Diceros bicornis minor: one gene and its partner. The protein of the gene in region 1 interacts with the protein of each later gene in a biochemical or structural test. Links are inferred from orthologs where the notes say so. Each region holds a gene or a part of one and is shown on either strand. Other genes may lie near its edges.

Evidence for each region. The genes of interacting proteins can lie anywhere in the genome.
Region 2: the proteins of MAP4K1 (region 1) and CRKL form a complex in vitro, tested with the Homo sapiens proteins (2 studies listed by BioGRID). The link is inferred for Diceros bicornis minor from reciprocal best matches to the Homo sapiens genes MAP4K1 and CRKL.

What each region holds. Positions count from the first base shown.
Region 1 is NC_080773.1:12,765,026-12,775,079, reverse strand, and holds the start of MAP4K1 (mitogen-activated protein kinase kinase kinase kinase 1), read left to right. Parts: upstream 1-5,408; 5' UTR 5,409-5,540; coding exon 5,541-5,639; intron 5,640-5,808; coding exon 5,809-5,866; intron 5,867-5,986; coding exon 5,987-6,077; intron 6,078-6,837; coding exon 6,838-6,902; intron 6,903-9,240; coding exon 9,241-9,296; intron 9,297-9,388; coding exon 9,389-9,436; intron 9,437-9,591; coding exon 9,592-9,634; intron 9,635-9,728; coding exon 9,729-9,801; intron 9,802-10,054. Other genes in the region: EIF3K (eukaryotic translation initiation factor 3 subunit K), read right to left, coding at 462-536, 1,842-1,962, 3,176-3,274, 4,103-4,161. UniProt on the Homo sapiens protein: Serine/threonine-protein kinase, which plays a role in the response to environmental stress. Appears to act upstream of the JUN N-terminal pathway.
Region 2 is NC_080774.1:30,943,422-30,952,911, forward strand, and holds the start of CRKL (crk-like protein), read left to right. Parts: upstream 1-5,080; 5' UTR 5,081-5,590; coding exon 5,591-5,901; intron 5,902-9,490. UniProt on the Homo sapiens protein: May mediate the transduction of intracellular signals.

The DNA.
Region 1 (10,054 bases):
GGCAGTGAGTAGCAGCTAAATCCCTCATGCAATGACGAGCAATCACCTGGGGGCTGACCCCACCAAGTGGGGCAGGAGGCGACGACACACGACCTTCAGGGCTGGGGGGTTTCAGGAGGGGAGGGAGATGGGTCTGGGAGAGGCAGTGAGAAGCAAGGAGACCGTTGGCCTCCCACTTGGGAAGCCGCAGAAGTGGAGGCCGGGCTCCAGTTAGAGCAAGAGACAGAGCGTTCAAAGGATGGAGGACTTTTGCAGGAAGGATGGGTGTGTGTGTAAGCCTGAGCCTTGTGGGCCCAGAGGACGGCCTGGGAGTCCTGGCGCCGCGTGAGGATGACAACTCCATGAGATCACGCACACAGGGCTCATCGCCAGGCAGCCAGAAATGTACACAGTCGTTACTTTTAGCAGTCTGCTCCGAGTGCCCAGTCACCCTCCGTGTCCCGGCACCCAAGGGAAGTTACCCAGAAGGCCTGGAAGTGGCAGGTCTCCAGTAGGTCTCCGAGGTACAAAATCTGCCGGATCGGCCGTTCTTCTTGCTGGGAGGAGGAAGTGTTAAGGAAAAATGGCCTTGGAGCCTGAGGGGGCTGCTGCTGAGTCCTAGACCGTCCCTCCCCGCCCACCTTCTGTACAGAGCGCAGCACGGTTAAGGTAACCGCAAAGGTGAGATCAAGCTAACGATCTGATGATGGGGACAATGAAATCAACAACGGCCCATCCACACACTGAGATCGAGTCAACTCTTACAGAACTGAGGTGGAGAACGTGACAAGACACACTGTGAAGAAAGCAAGATGCAGAACAACATGCATAGTAGCATACCACTTGGGTGGGGGGACACCTGTATATAAGCACACACACGTGTACACATCTAGGGGCTATCTGTGGAAAGGTACCGAAGAACTGCAAACAACTATTGCCTCCTCGGAGGAGAGTGAGATGGCTGTGGGACAGGGGAGGGAGGAAGCTCTATTGCTTTTCACTGTATGCTTTTTTGTACTTTTAACAGCGTATTGTATGCCTTTTTTTTTTAAGCCACCAAAACAGACCCCTGGGGAAGGTGGGCCATCTCTCGGAAGGCAGGCACTCCCACGGACCACCTGGCAGAGCAGGTTCAATGAGTAAGCCAGCATGTCTCAGCTCAGCCGCTATCCAGCAGGTACAAGCACAGGGCCCAGCATGGATGGGGGACTCTGCCAAGTTCGTCAAGAGACGGGATACGTATAATGAAGTTCAGCTGACAATCTAGCTCTTCAGGACTCCTGCCTCTTGCCTGGCGGTCTTTACTCAGCTAGGCACCCTCATGGGAATCTTTCTAAAGCATACATCTCCCCATACCACTCTGCAGCTTTAAAACCTTCTATGGCTCCCCAGTGCCCTTTCTGAATCTGACCAAACTCCACCTTGAAATCTGTGGTGCGGCTATGGCAAACTTCCTCTACTGCCTCTAAAACACAGTACTGAGCTCTTCTTTTCCTCCAGGCTTCCCTACATACTGTTCCCTCTGCCTGGATCACCCTTCCCTGCTGCTTCACCTGACTCTTCATCTCTCAGATGCTCCCTCGTCCAGGAAGCTTTCCCTAACACCCAGACAGGGTCAGGTGCCTCCTCTGGCCCCTCTAACCCCAAGCCCTGACTGCTCCAGGCTGTCACCGACAGGGGCCTGTCTCCTCCAGTGGGCAGTGAGCTCCGTGAGGGCAGTGTCCCAGCCCCACCCAGCAGCGGGCCAAGCCCAGATCAGGCACGCAGTGTTTGTGGCTGAACTGCCAGACCACTTCCAGGTGAGTTCATCTACTGGGCCACGCCCCCTCCCCCCCACACCAGCCTGGGAGCTGGAGGGATACGTGTGCCTGGTCGATCATGCACTTGCACAGCGTGAAGTCGGTGTGGGGCAGGTTGGTGAGGGCCTTCAGCAGGATCTGGGCAGTGACCGTGGTCTGGAAAAAGGCCGGGTTGAACTGGTACCTGAGAAGGGGAACAGAGACATAGCAACAGCGGCACCTCCGGGTCCCTGGACCTCACCAGCTGCCAGGCAGGCCGCCCACTGCTTTGGCCCAGAGCTTGGCAGCTGGACATGCCTGGACTCCTATCCCAACCACAGCCCTCTCTGGTCGTGTGACCTTAACCTCCCTGAGCCTCCTTTCCTGCTCCGTATATGGGGATAGCGTGGCTAGTCAGACACACACTGTTCCGTGGATCACAAACAAGTGAGTACAGAAATAGTAGCCCGGAGTAGTGGGTATACACTTCCCTGCTGAGTGTCCCTGGACTACTGACTTTAAACTCTCTGTACGTCAATTTCTTCCCTTGCAAATAACAACGACAATAACAACCATGTCTACCTCACAAGGGCAATATAGTACCTAAGTGAGTTCACACATACAAAGCTTATAGCACCATAGCTCCGTTCAGTGAGTGCTCATGAGGCAGAGGTCATCACCAATAACAATCAAGCCACAAATACAAGTGCTGTTATCACCACTTTATAGGTGTCAAAACCGAGGCTATACAATCTGTAAAAATCACCCAGGCAATAGCCTGTCAATAAAGCACTGAGGCGGGGAGAACCCCAACATCCATCCACAGAACAACGGATAATCAGGACACAGTCGCACAGTGGAACACGATGCAGCAATGACAACATACAAACTGCAGCCACACAGACAACGGATGGATCTCACAGACCCAGTGCTGAGTGGAAGATGCCAGACGCAGAACAGCATGTGCTGAATGACTACATTTGTGTCCCATTCAAAGCAGGAAAACCTGAGCTAGGCTAATCAGGATGCATGCATGTGTGGTAAACTCACATAAAGGCAGGCCAGAAGAGCATAAGAGTGGTTACTAGAGTGGGGGATGGGGTGGTTGGCACAAAGCATATGGGACAAAGACCCAACACACTAGCAATACTCAATTTTGCAATATGGATGGTGATCACGATGTGAGTGTTCATTTATAATTACTTGCTAGACTACCTATTTGTTTTATGTACTAGCCCGTATGTGTGTCTTGTAATGAATTTTTTAAAAACCATCCTCCCCCTGCCCCAACTTCCTTGGCTTCCTAGATTTGCACACCAAGAAAAGCCACATCCTGCAGGCCACTCCAACTCCCACCCCACCCAGTGTTAGGAGTGCACCCTGCTGGCAAGAGGGTCGGGATGGAGACAGACACTCACAGCTTTAGGACAGCCAGGTTGGCTTCCAAATCATAGGCATTCTCCTTGGCCTGCGTCTCCACGTAGCGCTCCAGGGTGGCCAGATTCTCAGGATTGTACCTAGGGGGGATTCAAGATGGACACAGGAGCTGAGGTCAGTCACTTTACGGGACTAGGGTGCAGGTGGGCACTGTAACCTGCTCCTCTCTCTCTCCCTCCCTTCTCTCTAAATCTGGTACTGGTCACCTACTCTACCCAAGTCTGGAATCAGCCCTATAACCTCTAATAAAACTTATCCACATCCCAGATCTAAAGCTAAGCTCTAAAGCCCATCAAAGCCCTGGGTCATTCCTAGGACGCCTCCCCAGCCTCTCAGCCAATCAGTCATGGCAGCCTGTATACCTGGCCTCCTGGACATCTTTGCCTCCCACCCCTTGCTCCCCTCCCCAGGCCCCCACTCTGGTCCAGCCCCATCCTCTCCTGCCTGGCTTCCCCCATCACAGCCCTGACCACTCCTGGCTATCACTGTCTACTGGCCGGTTTGTCTGGACTCTGAACTGGGAACTCCATGAAATCATGACTTGCAGCTGTACTGGTCACCTCTCGTCCTCAGCACTGACAGAGTAGATTTTAGCGAACACGTACTGAATGACTGACATAAAAGGAAAAGAATGAGAGATGAAGAGACACAGTGAGAGACTGAGAAGCAGAGAGAGAAAACTAAGGGACAGAGAAAGAGTCTTAAAACAAAGAGGCAGGGACTGGGTGGAAAACAAGACTATCTCCTGCCTTTAGGCCTTTGCAGCGCTGTTTCCTGAAACGTCTCCAAGACAACAGGGAAATGCCACCTCAGGGCAAGCCCAGGACCCTGACCACCCCTTGCTGTCCCCGAAAACCTTCTCCTCCACCCCGCCTGGCCAAAAGCGCTCCCTCCGACCGGGCTCAGACCTGTCGATGCCTTTAAGCAACTTGCCCACGTTCGCTCTCATCTGCTCAAACATCGCCATGACTGCCGTCGCCTCCCACACCGGGGCTGGAGCCGAAAACCCGGCTGGCCCGGCGTCCTCGAGGACCGGAAAAGGAAGAGGCGGCGGAAACGGAAACTACGTCATTGTTGTCCCTCCAGCCAGCCCCGGGGGGTGGAGAAGGGGAAGGCTGTTGCGGCGGCTGCCACGCTTTCCGGCTGTCACGTGACTTCTGCCCCTCGGGCGCAGTTGGCGCTTGCGCACACGCTCCACCCGAGCTCGACCAACGGCATGAGAAAAAATTTCTCCTAGCCCAGTGCTCAGGCGCCGTCTCAGGCGAGGAGGCGGGGCTAAGCTTTTCCCGGGCCTCGCGTAGCCGGTTCTAGCTCCCAGGACGTGCGCGCGAACTCGCCAGGAAGGAGATGGAGCTCTAACGGCGTGCGCGCACGTCGCGTTGCGCGCGGCCGTGAACTCACGGAACTGCTGGGATGCGCGTAGTAGCTCTCCGTTTGGGCCTTGGCCAGGTCCCGAGGGCGGTGCTCTCTAAGGTCCCCTTTGCCCCAGGCCTGGGTCCCCGAGGCAGGACCGGGAGCTCCGCAGTTTCAAGCCTTGAACCTGGTCTCCATACCCCACCCTAACTCTAGGGGTAGGGGCCTGCAAATCTGTTGTGCTCTGCCCGGTGGGGGCTCGAGTGAGGGGCTCCTGGACCCCGCCGGATTGCGCCCAGTCCCCATAGGCTCCAGTCTTGTGGGTGAAGGCGAGCGCCCATGTGTGCCATCATGAGTTATGCGTGTACAGATTCTGCACACTGCAGGCCTGAATGCCCCCGCATGTGTCATATATGTGGAGGTATGTGCTCTGGGTACATCCACATGTGTGCACACAGGTATCCCGGCACGTGCACGTCGACTGGTCTGCGCACCGCACAGGGGAGTAGCACTAAGCGCGTGTGTGTGCCCCAAGTGAACAGTAATGTACGCTGCATGGCCGTCGCTGTGCAGACTTGCCATCTCTGGGTTGTGGCCAAACCCTCAAGCACTCAGCAGAGGTTCAACTGTGGTTCCTAGTCGCCGCCCAGAAACAGAACGCTGACGGGGAAGGGAGGGGGGTGCTAGGGCACCCCCCAAGTCACAATTAAGATAGTTTGCATCTGGTTTACATTCAGCTCAGGGCCCTGGAGGTGGAGAGGGGGGTCCCCTGGGTCCCAAAGCAAGCTGCCCCTCACAGGCTCTCAGGGGACAGGGGGTGGAGCCGGCTGCACAGCCCTGCGCTGGGGCAGGAAGCGAGAGTGGGGAGGGGGGAGGCCACAGCCGGTGGAGGCAAGGCGGGTGCAGGGCTTGTGGGGAGGGAGGGAGGTGCCAGCACTCGAGCCCTGAGGCCCTGCTGGCCGCTGGGCGCAGGCCCAGCTCCGGCCCCCAGGGATGGACCTCGTGGACCCCGACATCTTTAATAAGGACCCCCGGGAACACTATGACCTGCTACAGCGGCTGGGTGGCGGCACCTATGGGGAAGTCTTCAAGGTGAGGACCCCCCTCCTTCTCCATCACCCTCAAACCAGTGACCTTTGGGGTGAGGCCCAAGAAGGGAAGGGGATGCGAGAGGGTCCCAGCCCTCGGCTTTGACTCAGGGATGCTGAGGGAGAGCTCAGGCGAATGGAGCCTGCCTGACTGCCAACTTCCCCTTTCCAAGGCTCGAGACAAGGTGTCGGGGGACCTGGTTGCATTGAAGATGGTGAAGATGGAGCCTGGTGAGGAGAGGACCCAGGAGCTCCTTCCCCACCCCCACCCCCACCCCCACCTTCTGGGACATGGATCTCCCCCGTGCCCCCTCCCTGCAGCCGCCTTTTCTCTCCTGCCCCTCCTCGCAGATGACGATGTTTCCACACTGCAGAAGGAAATCCTCATCTTGAAAACTTGCCGGCATGCCAACATCGTGGCCTACCATGGGAGTTATCTCTGGTGATGAGCCTCAGATCTGACCCCACCCAGCCCCTAGCCCAGAACCCCCGTTCCTGACCAGGGCGTCCCCTAACCCGATCTCCAATCCTGGACTCGCATTTTTAACTGGGGCACCCCTAACTTAACTTCCCAGTTGGAAGCCCCTCTTTTCTGACCAGAGCACCCGCTAATCTAATCCCCAATCCAGAACTCCCTTTTCTAACCAGAGGTCCCCAATATTGATCCCTTCCTAGTAACCAAACCTGAAACCAAGTCGCCTAAAACTAATCTCTCATCATCCTGCCCTTGGGGCCCCTTAGTTTCACTCTCTGCTCCTTTAATGTAAGCTCCTAAATTCCCTGACCCCCAAATTAATATCCCATATGCCCCAATAATGACCTGTGTCCCCCAGACCTGTCACCCTGGGCACCTCTGTCCCCTCCCGACCTCCACAACCTTTGAGAGCTCTGCCCTCTCTCCTGGCTTAGCGTGGGACAGCAGAGGGTGCCCTGGGTTAGGAGCCCAAAGACCTGGGTTTGAGTCCAGTTGACCCTGAGTATATATTTCCTCTCTGAGCCTCAACTTGCCCATCTGTAAAATGGAAGTGGGGTGTTCTCTCTGGTGGGCAAGGGGAGGTAGAGAGATGACAGCTGTTATATTAAAGCTCCTGTTGAACTAGAACAAGACAGTGAGCCAGGGGCTGTCCTATAAGTAATAATTTATTACTGCTGTTGTTATTATTATTATTATTGTTATTATTGTTACTCTTGAACTGTTGTAGGCTGCAGAAGCTCTGGATCTGCATGGAATTCTGTGGGGCTGGTTCTCTCCAGGACATCTACCAAGGTGAGAGGAGGGGTAAGGGCATCCAGGCAGCCCCTGCCCCTCCAGTCACCTCTCCTGTCTCTCTGTGTCCCTTTTTTCTGGTCCGTGTGTCACACAATGAGCCCCTCTTCTGGGCCTGGCCTGGATGATGCTGGGGATGCTGTGGTGACCGAGTGGGCCCTAGGCCCTGTCCGCTGGGACTGGGCAGCCCAGCCTTAATCTTTCTGCGTGTGGCGATCCCTGCTGCTTCCCCTCCGCGTCTTCCTCTGTGTCTGCGTTTTCTCACCAAGGTCCACGCGTGTGTGTGAGTATTGCTGCGTTTCTGGCTTATAGTTGGTGCCCACGTTTTCGTTGAATGCGTGAATGAGTTTCTGATTTCTCTCTCGCAGCCTGCTTTTCATTCTCTTGGAGAATTTGCGGGTGTGGGTGGGGTGGGCTGATCACCTCTCAATTTCTGATGCCCGCCTCTGTCTTCGACCATCTCCCTGTCTCCCTCCAGCCCAAGACCTCAAATGTCAGAAAAGGAAGGACTTCATTAAGAAGTCCTCGGGGGGAAACTGAGGCCCACAGAGAGACAGTGATTCACGGCCGGTCTGTCAGACCTGGTCTCTGACCCCCTCTCTTTGTCTGTTGTCTGTCTCTCCAGCCCTCTGTGTCTCTCTTTTTCTCAATATCTCTGTCTTCCTACTTTTTGGTTTCTGACCGTCTCTTTCTTTCTCTTTCTCAATTTGGATCTGTTCCTGCTTCTCTTTGTGTCTCTCTCCCTCTTTCCCTCTCTCCCTCTCCCCCTCTCCCTCTCCCCCTCTCCCTCTCTCCCTCTCCCCCTCTCCCCCTCTCCCTCTCTCCCTCTCCCCCTCCCCCTCTCTCCCTCTCCCCCTCTCCCCCTCTCCCTCTCTCCCTCTCCCCCTCCCCCTCTCTCCCTCTCCCCCTCTCCCCCTCTCCCCCTCTCCCTCTCTCCCTCTCCCCCTCCCCCTCTCTCCCTCTCCCCCTCTCCCCCCCTCCCCCTCTCCCTCTCCCCCTCTCCCCCCCCTCCCCCTCTCCCTCTCTCCCTCTCTCCCTCTCTCCCTCTCTCCCTCTCCCCCTCTCCCCCTCTCCCCCTCCCCCTCTCCCTCTCCCCCTCTCCCTCTCTCCCTCTCCCCCTCCCTCTCTCCCTCTCTCCCTCTCCCCCTCTCCCCCTCTCCCTCTCTCCCTCTCCCCCTCCCCCCCTCCCCCTCTCTCCCTCTCCCCCTCTCTCCCTCTCCCTCTCTCCCTCTCTCCCTCTCCCTCTCTCCCTCTCTCCCTCTCTCCCTCTCCCTCTCTCCCTCTCTCCCTCTCTCCCTCTCCCTCTCTCCCTCTCTCCCTCTCCCCCTCTCCCTCTCCCCCCCCTCTCCCTCTCTCCCTCTCCCCCTCTCTCCCTCTCCCTCTCCCCCTCTCTCCCTCTCTCTCTCTCCCTCTCCCCCTCTCTCCCTCTCTCTCTCTCCCTCTCTCCCTCTCTCCCCCTCCCCCTCTCCCTCTCTCCCCCCTCTCCCTCTCCCTCTCTCCCTCTCTCCCTCTCCCCCTCCCCCTCTCTCCCTCTCTCCCTCTCCCTCTCCCTCTCTCTCTGCTTTTCCTCATTTTGCAGCGTCACATCACCTCCTGCTCAGAGTCCCCCCATGGCTTCCATTTCCCTCCGAAGAGAAGACCAAACTCCTCGTCCTGCCCCAGAGTCTGACCCGCCCCCCTCGCCACCAGCCGACTGACCTCACCTCCTGCCACTTTCCTACCCTGAACTCCACTCCACTCACTTTGCTGCTTTCCAGGCCCGCCAGACACTCTGCCACCTCCCGGCCTTTGCTCTGGCTCTCCTTGTTCCCCCTTGGAGCCAAGCAGCACTGCTCACAGCTTCACCCTGTCACCTCCTTAGAGCAATCTTCGCTGACCACCCTGTGTAAAATGTCATACCCCTTCCCACACATATTTCCTGTTGTCTTTTCTTGCTTTATTTTCCTTCTTACTGTTTATTAGCGTCTCACGTACCACATCTTTTACTTATTGATCTTGTTTACTGTCGGTCTCCCCATCTGCAGTGTTCTCTCCACAAGGGCAGGGATCTCTGTCTCTTTCATCCGCAGCTGTATCCCCCGTGCTGACCACAGGGCCTGGCACGCAGTAGACAAGCAGTAAATATCTGCTGAATGAATCTGTCTCCCCGGCCTCTGGTTCCCTGCATTGCTGCCTCTCCCTGTGGCTGACCACCCCTCCGTCTTCCCCTCTCGCTTGTCCTGTCCTGTTTCCCCTTCCCCATGTGGCACCCTCTCAGCCAGTGTGAGTGGGGGCCAGGGGCTCTTGGGCCCGTGTTGCCTGAGTCCCACCCAACACCGCACTGGGGTGACCTTTGCAGTGACAGGCTCCCTGTCAGAGCTCCAGATCAGCTACGTCTGCCGGGAGGTGCTCCAGGTGAGGAGGGGCCTGGTGGGCCTGGGGGGGTGGGGCAGGACCCTGCTCCAGCCCCCAGGCACTCACGGCCCCATGTCTACCCTCGTCCCCAGGGCCTGGCTTATCTGCACTCACAGAAGAAGATACACCGGGACATCAAGGTGGTCTGGGGGCAGAAAGGGGGCCTTGGTGGGTGGGGGGCTCATGAGACAGGAGTGCTGTTGAGCTGTGGGGGGGTGGGGGGGACCAGGGGGTGGAGGCAGTGTTGGGCTGGGGGGTGTCTCTGATAGCCTCTAATCTCCCCTCCTGTCGTCAGGGAGCCAACATCCTCATCAACGACTCTGGGGAGGTCAGACTGGGTGAGTGTGGCTGGTGGGGGTCGGCAGGGGGCCTGGCTGTGGGCGCGAGGGGAGCAGGGACCCCAGGTCACTCTGTCTCTCCCTCCGCCTCTAGCTGACTTTGGTATCTCGGCCCAGATCGGGGCAACACTCGCTCGACGCCTCTCTTTCATTGGGACGCCCTACTGGTGAGGGTGCCTGGCGGGCAGCTGGTGGGGGGCAGCGGCTTTTCCCACGCCGGATCTCTGGGAATCTCCTTCCTGGCGCCTTTCCCCTGCTCTGCCGTTCTCTGTTGACTGTTCTGTCTTCTCTTGAGTCTCCGTGTACTGAGGTCTCTCTGGGCCCTCTCCACCTGTTTCTCTCAGTGTTGTGTTGATTTTTTCCTGATCTCTCTGTCTCTCCGTGTCTGTCTGTCTCTGTCTTTTCCCTCTGCCTCAGTCT
Region 2 (9,490 bases), on another chromosome or scaffold:
GCCAATCCTCCTCTTTTTGCTGAGGAAGACCGGCCCTGAGCTAACATCTGTGCCGATCTCCCTCTACTTTATGTGAGATGCCGCCACAGCATGGCCTGACAAGCGGTGCCTCAGTGTGCGCCCAGGATCCAAACCCGGGCCGCCAGCGGTGAAGCGCGAGCACTTAACCGCTACACCACGGGGCCGGCCCCTACGTAATATTCTTGATTTTCGTCTTGGCCTGCAAAGCCTAAAATATTTACTCTCTGGCCCTTTACAGAAAAACCTGGGTGACACTTGGTCTAAAGGGTTGCGTAGAACCGACTTCTTTGAGATAAGTGTGAGAGGGAATCAGTATGCCCTAGTGGAAGGATCACCCTGCTCAGAATTTTACTAATGACACTCCAGAGTGCTCTGAAATCCAAGGGAAACGGGAAAATTTGCTTTCAGCTCTCAAGCAGCGAAGTGACAAGAAAGCGGACATTTTATAATAGAGGTGACAGAGCAATTAAAACTACATTACAAAATGACAAGGGGAACATGACCATACTTTAAAACACTGGAATAAAGTAGGCCAGTGCTTTCTGTAGTAGTCAGCAGAGCTTCTGGATATCGTAGCTAAGCCTAGTTCAGAGGTATCACCCTATGAAAGAAGTGATTATTCAGTTGATATTTTAAATAGTTTGGTATGGAAAATTATAATGGGGATACGAACATTATTAGTATTAGAGTAGCAAAGTAATAGGAGGGAAAAAAGAAAATTATCAGGGGCAGGAAGAAGGGTCAGACGCTTGTTCTGGTGTCCTCAGTAAGGCAGCAATCTACAACGATTGCCTGGCTTTAACCATCACCTGAAGGGTTGGACCTGCTTAGACAGGGGAGAACAAAAAGTCAGCAGTGGGTCCCGGTTGTGTTTTCTGTACAGAGCTAGCCTCAGGGCTAGGAAGTAAGGAATCCGGACAAGTTGCTCAAAAAGCCTGTCAGTCCTTTGAGTCTAGCTTGTAAATATCTTAGAAGATGAGTAAGTATAATGCCATCTGGAAACCCTGGGAATGAGCAAGCTAAGACAGAATCACAAATCTTTATGTTACAGCCCTTTTTTAAATGCTTCCTTGTTGCTTCTCCATTCATTTCCATTTTGTTCTCTCTTAACATCTAAGAACATTTTTTGGAATTTTTTTTAAAGCTTGTCTCAGCTGTGCTAAGGAAGAATAAATGAAAGTACTTAAAATAACTTTTTATTGTGAGGGGCCAGCCCAGTGGCATAGTGGTTAAGTTCCCATACTCCGCTTTGGCAGCCCAGGGTTCACAGGTTCAGATCCCGGGCACAGACCTATGCAGCACTCATCAAGCCATGCTGTGGTGGCATCCCATATACAAAACAGAGGAAGATGGGCACAGATGTTAGCTCAGGGCCAATTTTCCTCAGCAAAAAAATAAAATAAAAATAAAAAAGAAATAGAGACTCGTTTAAAAAAAATTAAAAAAAATTTTATTGTGAAAAATTCCAAACATATACAAAAGTAGAATAATATAATATAATTAACCCCACACACATACACATCATGTCACCCAGCTTCAACAATTATCAACACAAGGCCATTCTTGTTTCATCTTTATCTAATCCATACCCTATTCCCTACTGGACTATTTTGAAGCAAAAGGAGAGGTATTTTGATTCTTTTTTTTTTTTTTTGTGAGGAAGATCAGCCCTGAGCTAACATCCATGCCAATCCTCCTCTTTTTGCTGAGGAAGACCGGCTCTGAGCTAACATCCATGCTGATCTTCTTCCACTTTATACGGGACGCTGCCACAGCATGGCCTGACAAGTGGTGCGTGCCAGGGATACGAACCCAGGCCGCCAGCAGCGGAGCGCAAGCACTTAACCACTATGCCATGGGGCCGGCCCCTTGATTCATTTTTAAGAGGAATTTTTAAAGAGGGGAGCATGGCCCTTTGGCAGCAGAATGGTGGTGGTATCTGAAACCCAAGCTAGGGGACAAATCCAACCGCTTCTCCCTGTTCCAAGATTGATATTCCTTTCTGGTGCTAGAATTTACTTTGGAGGGCCTCATTTTCACTATCAGCAAAACAAAGAAAATTGACTAAATTATAGGCAGTTGTGTAACAGTGAAATGAGACCTTGACTTCAAGTCAAAAGACCTGGCTTAAGAGTGCCAGCTCTGCCTCTTGCAAATTATATAACTTACAATAACTTATATAAGCAAGTCACTTAACCTCTCTGAGCTTCTGGATCCTCTGTTACAGGGTATTTCATGGGACTTTGGTTAGATTAAGCAAAACAATGTATTATGTGAAGTTCTGTGAATTGAAAAGCACTTATAAATCACATATCACGGAGTTCTTCAGTTAAGTAAAAGATGACTGAGATTTGAGTCTGCCAATTAGGAAAACAGTGATGCTACTGACAGAAAAGGGGGAGCTGAAAGGCAAAATTTAATCCAAATGGAAGATTTTTTTTTTTTTGTGAGGAAGATCAGCCCTGAGCTAATATCCGTGCCAATCCTCCTCTTTTTTTGTGAGGAAGACTGGCCCTGTGCTAACATCTAGTGCCAATCCTCCTCCTTTTTTTTTTTCCCCTTTTTCTCCCCGAAGCCCCAGTAGATAGTTGTATGTCATAGGTGCACATCCTTCTAGTTGCTGGGACGCGGCCTCAGCATGGCCAGACAAGCGGTGTGTTAGTGCTAGCCCAGGATCCGAACCCAGGCTGCCAGCAGCGGAGCACTCGCACTTAACCATTAAGCCACGAGGCTGGCCCCTCCAAATGGGAGATTTAAACAGAGAGTGATATGGGGCTAAACCTTAGGTCCAAATATCTACTTTGAATACATTTATTATGTTAATAAAAGGGGAAAAAAATCACATAGTCTCCTTACCTTCACTAAAATAAATTTTTAGTTTTCTCTGGTTTCTTCCCATCGTTATCCACCTACATTCAAAAACCATTTACTAGGTGTATATTATGTGATAGGCACTGGGAATACAAAAAATAATACTACAGTCTGCCTCCAAGATGCTCAGATTAGGAAAGGAGAGACACATAAAGAATTACAATAGCATGTGATAAAAATTAATTTAGGTGTTTGCATAGGGTGTGGTCAGTTTTTGTTCTACTTTTAGAATATATGTGTTTTGAAGTCACCAACAAAGGGATGACCCCTAAAGCCTTCATGAAGATTGGCCTACCAAAGGAGAAGCTACCAAAAGAGAGAGGTTGAGGACTGAGTTTCTACACTTTGAGGCTGGACAAAAGAGCCACAGAAAGAGACTGAGAAAGTGTATTTGGAGAGGTAGAAGAAATTACGTTAGTGTCCCAGGAGCTTAAAAGAAGAAAAAACAAAAACAAAAGTAGTCTTTCTGGAAAGAGATTTTCAACATAAACGCGTAGAGCCAGGTAGATCAAGGAAAATGATGGGATCAATGGAGATCAGTGATGATCTCCAAAGGCAAGTTTCAGGCAAAGTAAGGGTAGAAACCAAATGAAGAAGGCTGGGCAAGGAGTGGGTGATGATGAAGTGGTAAAATCTGGCAGTGAAAAGTAGCTAGCAAATCAAATGGGAATTATTCTCCCCACCCTCATCCACTCATTTTAAGATCTCCGTGTTTGTAGGCAATGGAGGTAGAAGCCAAGAAAGAGGCTAAATAACAATAATAAAAAACTCTTATATGATGCTTAATATGTGCCAGGCACTATTCTAAGTACTTTACATTTATTAGCTTGTTTAATAATATATGAGGCATGGATGGATGATTAAGTAACTGGCCCAAGGCCACTCAGCTAGTCAACTGATTAAGCCAGGAGTGGAACCCAAGCCATCATTTTCAAATTCTGTGCTAATCAAACCTGAGACTAATACAACATGAAAGTATTTGGAGAGAAGATGAAAACCTGTAATGCTGAATCACAAAAGGCAGTAGACCTTGACATTTCCCCTTTAGTTTACCCAAAGATGGACATCACCTATCACCCTACAATCTAGGATATGTTCAATCTGGGGAGGAGGGAGGGTGCAAACGGCCAGAATGCAATTCCACTGACAGAGGGATCTAAGCGTGGGTTTGTACTGCCTGCATCTCCCTTTTTGGACATACTTTCTTGTCTGTGCAGTTACTTTCTTGTCTGTCCAGTTTCGGGGGTGGTGCTACCAATAATCCAGCACCAGTTGCCTGAGGTTTTCTTCAGTAGTCATTCATTCAACAAATATTTGAGCATCAAGTCAGGGCCAGACATTTTGCTAGGCCCAGAGGTGAACAAGATAGACAAGATTCCCGCTCTCTTAAAATTTACATTCCAGTGGGGAGGACAGGGGTGGGCTGGTAGACAGGCTAGAGGGCACTGCTGGAGCGGGGTAAACAAGGGGGAATGGAGGGAGGTTAACTCGGAGCAGCAGGCAGAATCCGGAGCAGGCGAGGCCTTCAAGCCACGCCCCAGAGGCGTTTGCATTTTATTTGCAGTAATTCAGCGCCAGTGATGGCTAGATTACCCCAGGCTGTAGACTTCCTAAACCACTTAATCCTGCCAATACAACCTTCACACCCTATACTTGTGCCTGTCGGGTCACCTGGCCACTCTGGGTCCCTTAGCCTACCAGGCCACCTCGGGCCCATCTGCCGGTCACCTAAGCCCCCGCGGTCTCCTTCCTGAGCCACCTCGGCCCATCGGGGCCTGTCCTCCCGTCGGTCTCCGTTAGCGCGGGTCCCCTTGGGCCCCTCGGCCGGCCAGGTCACCTCAGTGCCACGCCTCCCAGGCCGCAGATTAGGCCTGCACGTTACGCTTTGTTCCCAGAGCAGGTTTTCGAAAAGCCGCTCCCTCTCGAGTCCAGCTGTTTTCCTGCCAGCTCAAAGAGACCCGGCAGCTGCAGCGCCCCCGGCGGCACACCGCCGTCCAGGAAGGGAGTGCCCGCCTCCGCGACCTCCGCCTCCGCCTCCTCCCGGAACGCGGGAGCGGGCGAGAGCCGCGCACGCCCGGACGGTCACCACCGCGCTCCTGATTGGCTGCGCTGCTTGACGTCACGGGGAGGGCCCCGGCGGCAGCTGGGAGCCGGGGGCTGCGCGTGCGCAGACGGAGCGTGCTGAGCAGAGGGGGAGGTGGCCGGGTGCTTCTCCCGCGTCCGCCATTTTGTTGCTGTGGCTGTTGGGAACGGGCTGGGCAAAACCGCCCCGGAGGCGCGACGCTCCCTGGAGTTTAGTGCTTGGAGTGGCGGCGGAGGTCGGTGCAGAGCCGTAGGGGCGCGAGGCCGGCGCGTTCCAGGCCAGAAGTGACTGGAGCGCACCCCTGGTACGCTGGGCAGCCCGAGACCCCGGGGCGGCCTCCGCTGCGGCTCGGCTTCGCCCGCCCCGACCCCGGGCTCTGCCCCGCATTCCCCGAGCCGGCTCCCTCCTTGAGGCGACCCCGGAGCAGGCGGGCGGCGGCGGCGGGGGATGCTGCGGGCCCGGAGCCGAGAGGAAGGTGCTGGCTCGGCCTTGTAAGCGCGCCTCGAGGTGTGTCGAGGCCCTTCTTCGGCCCCAAAGCCGTCTGTCGGGCAGAGGCGACCAGAGCAGGCGAGAGCAGCCGCGCCCCGACCCGCCGCAGGGCCCCGTTCCGACACCATGTCCTCCGCCAGGTTCGACTCCTCAGACCGCTCCGCCTGGTACATGGGGCCGGTGTCGCGCCAAGAGGCACAGACCCGGCTCCAAGGTCAGCGCCACGGCGTGTTCCTGGTCCGCGACTCCTCCACCTGCCCCGGGGACTATGTGCTGTCCGTGTCCGAGAACTCGCGGGTCTCCCACTACATCATCAACTCGCTGCCCAACCGCCGTTTTAAGATCGGGGACCAGGAGTTTGACCACTTGCCCGCCCTGCTGGAGTTCTACAAGATCCATTACCTGGACACCACCACCCTCATCGAGCCCGCGCCCAGGTAGGCGCGCAGCCCACCCCGACCGCGGAGGAGGGTCGAGAAGGGCCGGGTTGGTTCGCTTGGGGTCGATCGAAGAGGGGGCGGGGGGTGTGACTGAACCTATTTGTCCCCATTCTGAACCAAATTATTTTCCAGAAGGCATTCCGAACGGAAGGCTACTGTCAGGATCTGGGTCACTGGGTGAGGGGATGCGTTTTAAACGTGCTTAACGGCGATTGCATAGTTAAAATGTACGCTTTTTGTTTTTCGTCGCGTTCTTTATTTGGTTATCATAATAAAGCAGGGTGGTGGTGGTGGTGTTTTTGGGCTATAGACTTTGAGAATCTGAAGATAGCCGTGGCATCCCTCTCCTCCAAAAATGCACGTACGCACAAGTGTGCACAGCATTCAAGGTTCTTGGACTCCCTGCAGATGTGTGCACTCCAGGTTACTGCAGATCAAGAACCCTTGGACTGCAGCCTTTGAAATAGTCGACAAATGAAAATGCTTTAGCGTTTAAAAACAGAAACCTTTAACTGAAATTTCAACTATATATTGATATCTTGATGCCAAGTTTGAAATAAGCCAGACACCTGTTTTATAATGTATTAATTACAAAATTTTAAAAGAAGGTGCATTGGCTTCAGCGGGAACATTTTTTTGAATTTTTATTTTATAGTTTCCTGCCAAGATGGACCATTAATAGGCTAGAAATTAATTTGGTTAAATTCCAAGGAGGAATAAGGCTAAGATGTTACTTACTAAGGGAAATTTTTGAATGACAGTTATCTTAATTCTATTCTCTTTTGTAAGTAAAATGCATTTTTTATTTGATTATTTGCTTTAATTTGTCTTAATCAGTATTCTGTCAGAGGTTTCTTTTATTTAAATTGTGCCAAATTTGAGCTGAAGAAATTGCCTAGAATTTTAAAAATAAAAAGTATTTCTTTGCCTAATTTGTTTCTTAAGCATCTATTTAAATGGAGAGGATGCTAATAAAGATGTTTCAGAATGAGATGTTTCTGACTTTATAGATTTTGCTGACAAGATATCTCTGAACTTTAAACATTGAAAGCTATCATAATTAATTATGGAGCGTCCACTGGATGCCTAAGTGTTGCTTCTGTGGAATAGATATAGAGAGGAAACAAAACCATGGTATTATAATGACTGTACTAGATTAACTACTGAACTAAATGGACTTTAAAAAATGGGAGAAAGTGATTATAAATCAAATACTGTATAACAAAGATGTAGACCCCAGGAATCTGATTGGTGAAACCTCCAGGTCCCCAAAGATGCTGGTAATTGGAGTCAACTTTGAGCACAATATAATTCCAATATAAGGGGTTGGGGAGAATCTTAGAACCCACTGTAATGAGATTTTTAATGTGTTTAAGTAAATTACTTTACTAACTTGCGGTGGTGAATGATGTCATTAATTTCAGGCATTTATTAAGCCATGTTATGTGCAGGGTATTGTGCTTTCTTTGAGGTGACAGGTACTGTAATACAGCTGTCTCAACAAGTATGAGTAAATGGCTTGATCCCCTTCTAGAAGGAGAAAAAGGGAGATGCTGCACTGGCTTCCCAGTACCCACAAGAACGAATCCAAATTTTCCATACACTGGTCTTCCCAGGTAGCAGGCGGAACTTTCTGTCTTTGATGCGTGTCCTCGCTCCCTCTCATCCTTCCTTTACTGCAGCCTCACGAAGGCCACTCACTCAGTCCCTGGTAGCCATCCCTACACACCTCCTCACAGCTTTGTACCTTTGCTCAGGCTGTTGGCTCTTCATTGACAGCGTTAACTCCACTCCACTCCTGACCAGTGAAATCCTACCTGTTGTTCCAGGCCCCTCACAAATAATAGGACCTTTCTCTGACCCTCCCCCTCACATTCAGCTGTAATTGTTTCTCCTTCTCTGTGCCTTACGCCTGAGGCCTGTGGCTGTAATTTACTTTTTAATTTTCCCTGATATCTTGGAGGGTGATCACAATGCTGGTTGAATTAGATCCTGACTTGATTTGCTTTGTTATACTGCGTCTTTGGGTTGCATCTGAATTAATGGATTTGGAGTTCATGGATTTGAATTTCAGGAAAGCCTGAGATTCATGGATTTGGTTTGAAATGTTTTTAGCCTTTGTAGAAAACTAGAGGCTAGTAAAGCCTTGGCCAAATGCAAAAATCAATATAATGCTTCTTCACACCCCAAACAGGATCAATTAAGTGGTTTAGCTTTAAAAAGTTTCATGCTGGGCCGGGGCCATGGCTTAGCGGTTAAGTGTGTGCGCTCCACTGCTGGCGCCCCGGGTTCGGATCCCAGGCGCGCACCGATGCACCGCTTCTCCGGCCATGCTGAGGCCGCGTCCCACATGCAGCAACTAGAAGGATGTGCAGCTATGACATACAACTATCTACTGGGGCTTTGGGGGAAAAAATAAATAAATAAAATTAAAAGTTTCATGCCCCTTGGCTAGTAGTTCCTTTTGCTTATCGAAAAGTCAGAATTTAAGAACTGGTGCTTGTTTTGTTCTGTCTGATCTTTTTTATTGGACTCTTCCTTAACTTTTAATTTTATATTTTATTAAAATACTTTGGGGGCCGGCCTCGTGGCGCAAGCGGTTAATTGCACGCGCTCCGCTGTGGCGGCCTGGGGTTCGCCGGTTCAGATCCTGGGCGCGCACCCACCGCACCGCTTGTGAACCCATGCTGTGGCGGCGGCCCATATAAAGTAGAGGAAGATGGGCATGGATGTTAGCCCAGGGCCAGTCTTCCTCAACAACAAAAAAAAGAGGAGGGTTGGGAGATGTTAGCTCAGGGCCGATCTTCCTCACAAACAAAAAAAGATTAGAGGAGAATTATATCCCAGTGATAGGTGCTAGGAAAGATGGGTGACAGACATATTTTCTCCGTCATGGAACTTATATTTTAGTGAAGGAGGCAGACTAAAAAGTAGAAAAAAAAATACTTATAAGATTAATAAATGCTATGAAAGAAATAAACCTAGCCTGAGAGAATATAATAGAAGGGACCTACCTGAGGTGGTGTGGTCAGAGAAAGCATGAAACTACCTAAGGGTAGAGAAGAAGCAAGCCTTGGGAAGGCTTGTGCTAAAAGGAGGGTAAGAGCCTTACAAGCATAGGGAGGAGCTTACACAAAGTCCTGAGGTGAGAAAGACAGTCTTTGTTGGGAGTGTGGTTCTTAAAGAAGTGGCTCATATAAGAAGAGTTTGGAGATATGATGGTCAAGGCAAAGAAATGGGATTTTATTTAAAGTGCAGTGGATGCTGTGGAAGGAGTTTGAAGCAGGGGAGTGACCTGGGACTGTTACTGTAATCCAGGTGTAAAATGATGACTGATGACATGTGTGTCATAGGTCATATAGATATCATATAGAGTGACAGAGCTATGGCTTGGAGGTGCCTATTTTGATGTTTCTGATGGGGGAGGGAATGATGGGAGAAGAGAAAGGAAGAAACAAAGATGACTTGGTATATTTGTAACTTTTGAGTCCTGTAGGTTTATCTTATTAATTGCTTGCTGTATTTGTGGTATTCCTGTAGTGGATTTTAAATTTAACCCCCAAGAAGTATCGTGTCAGGTGGCTGT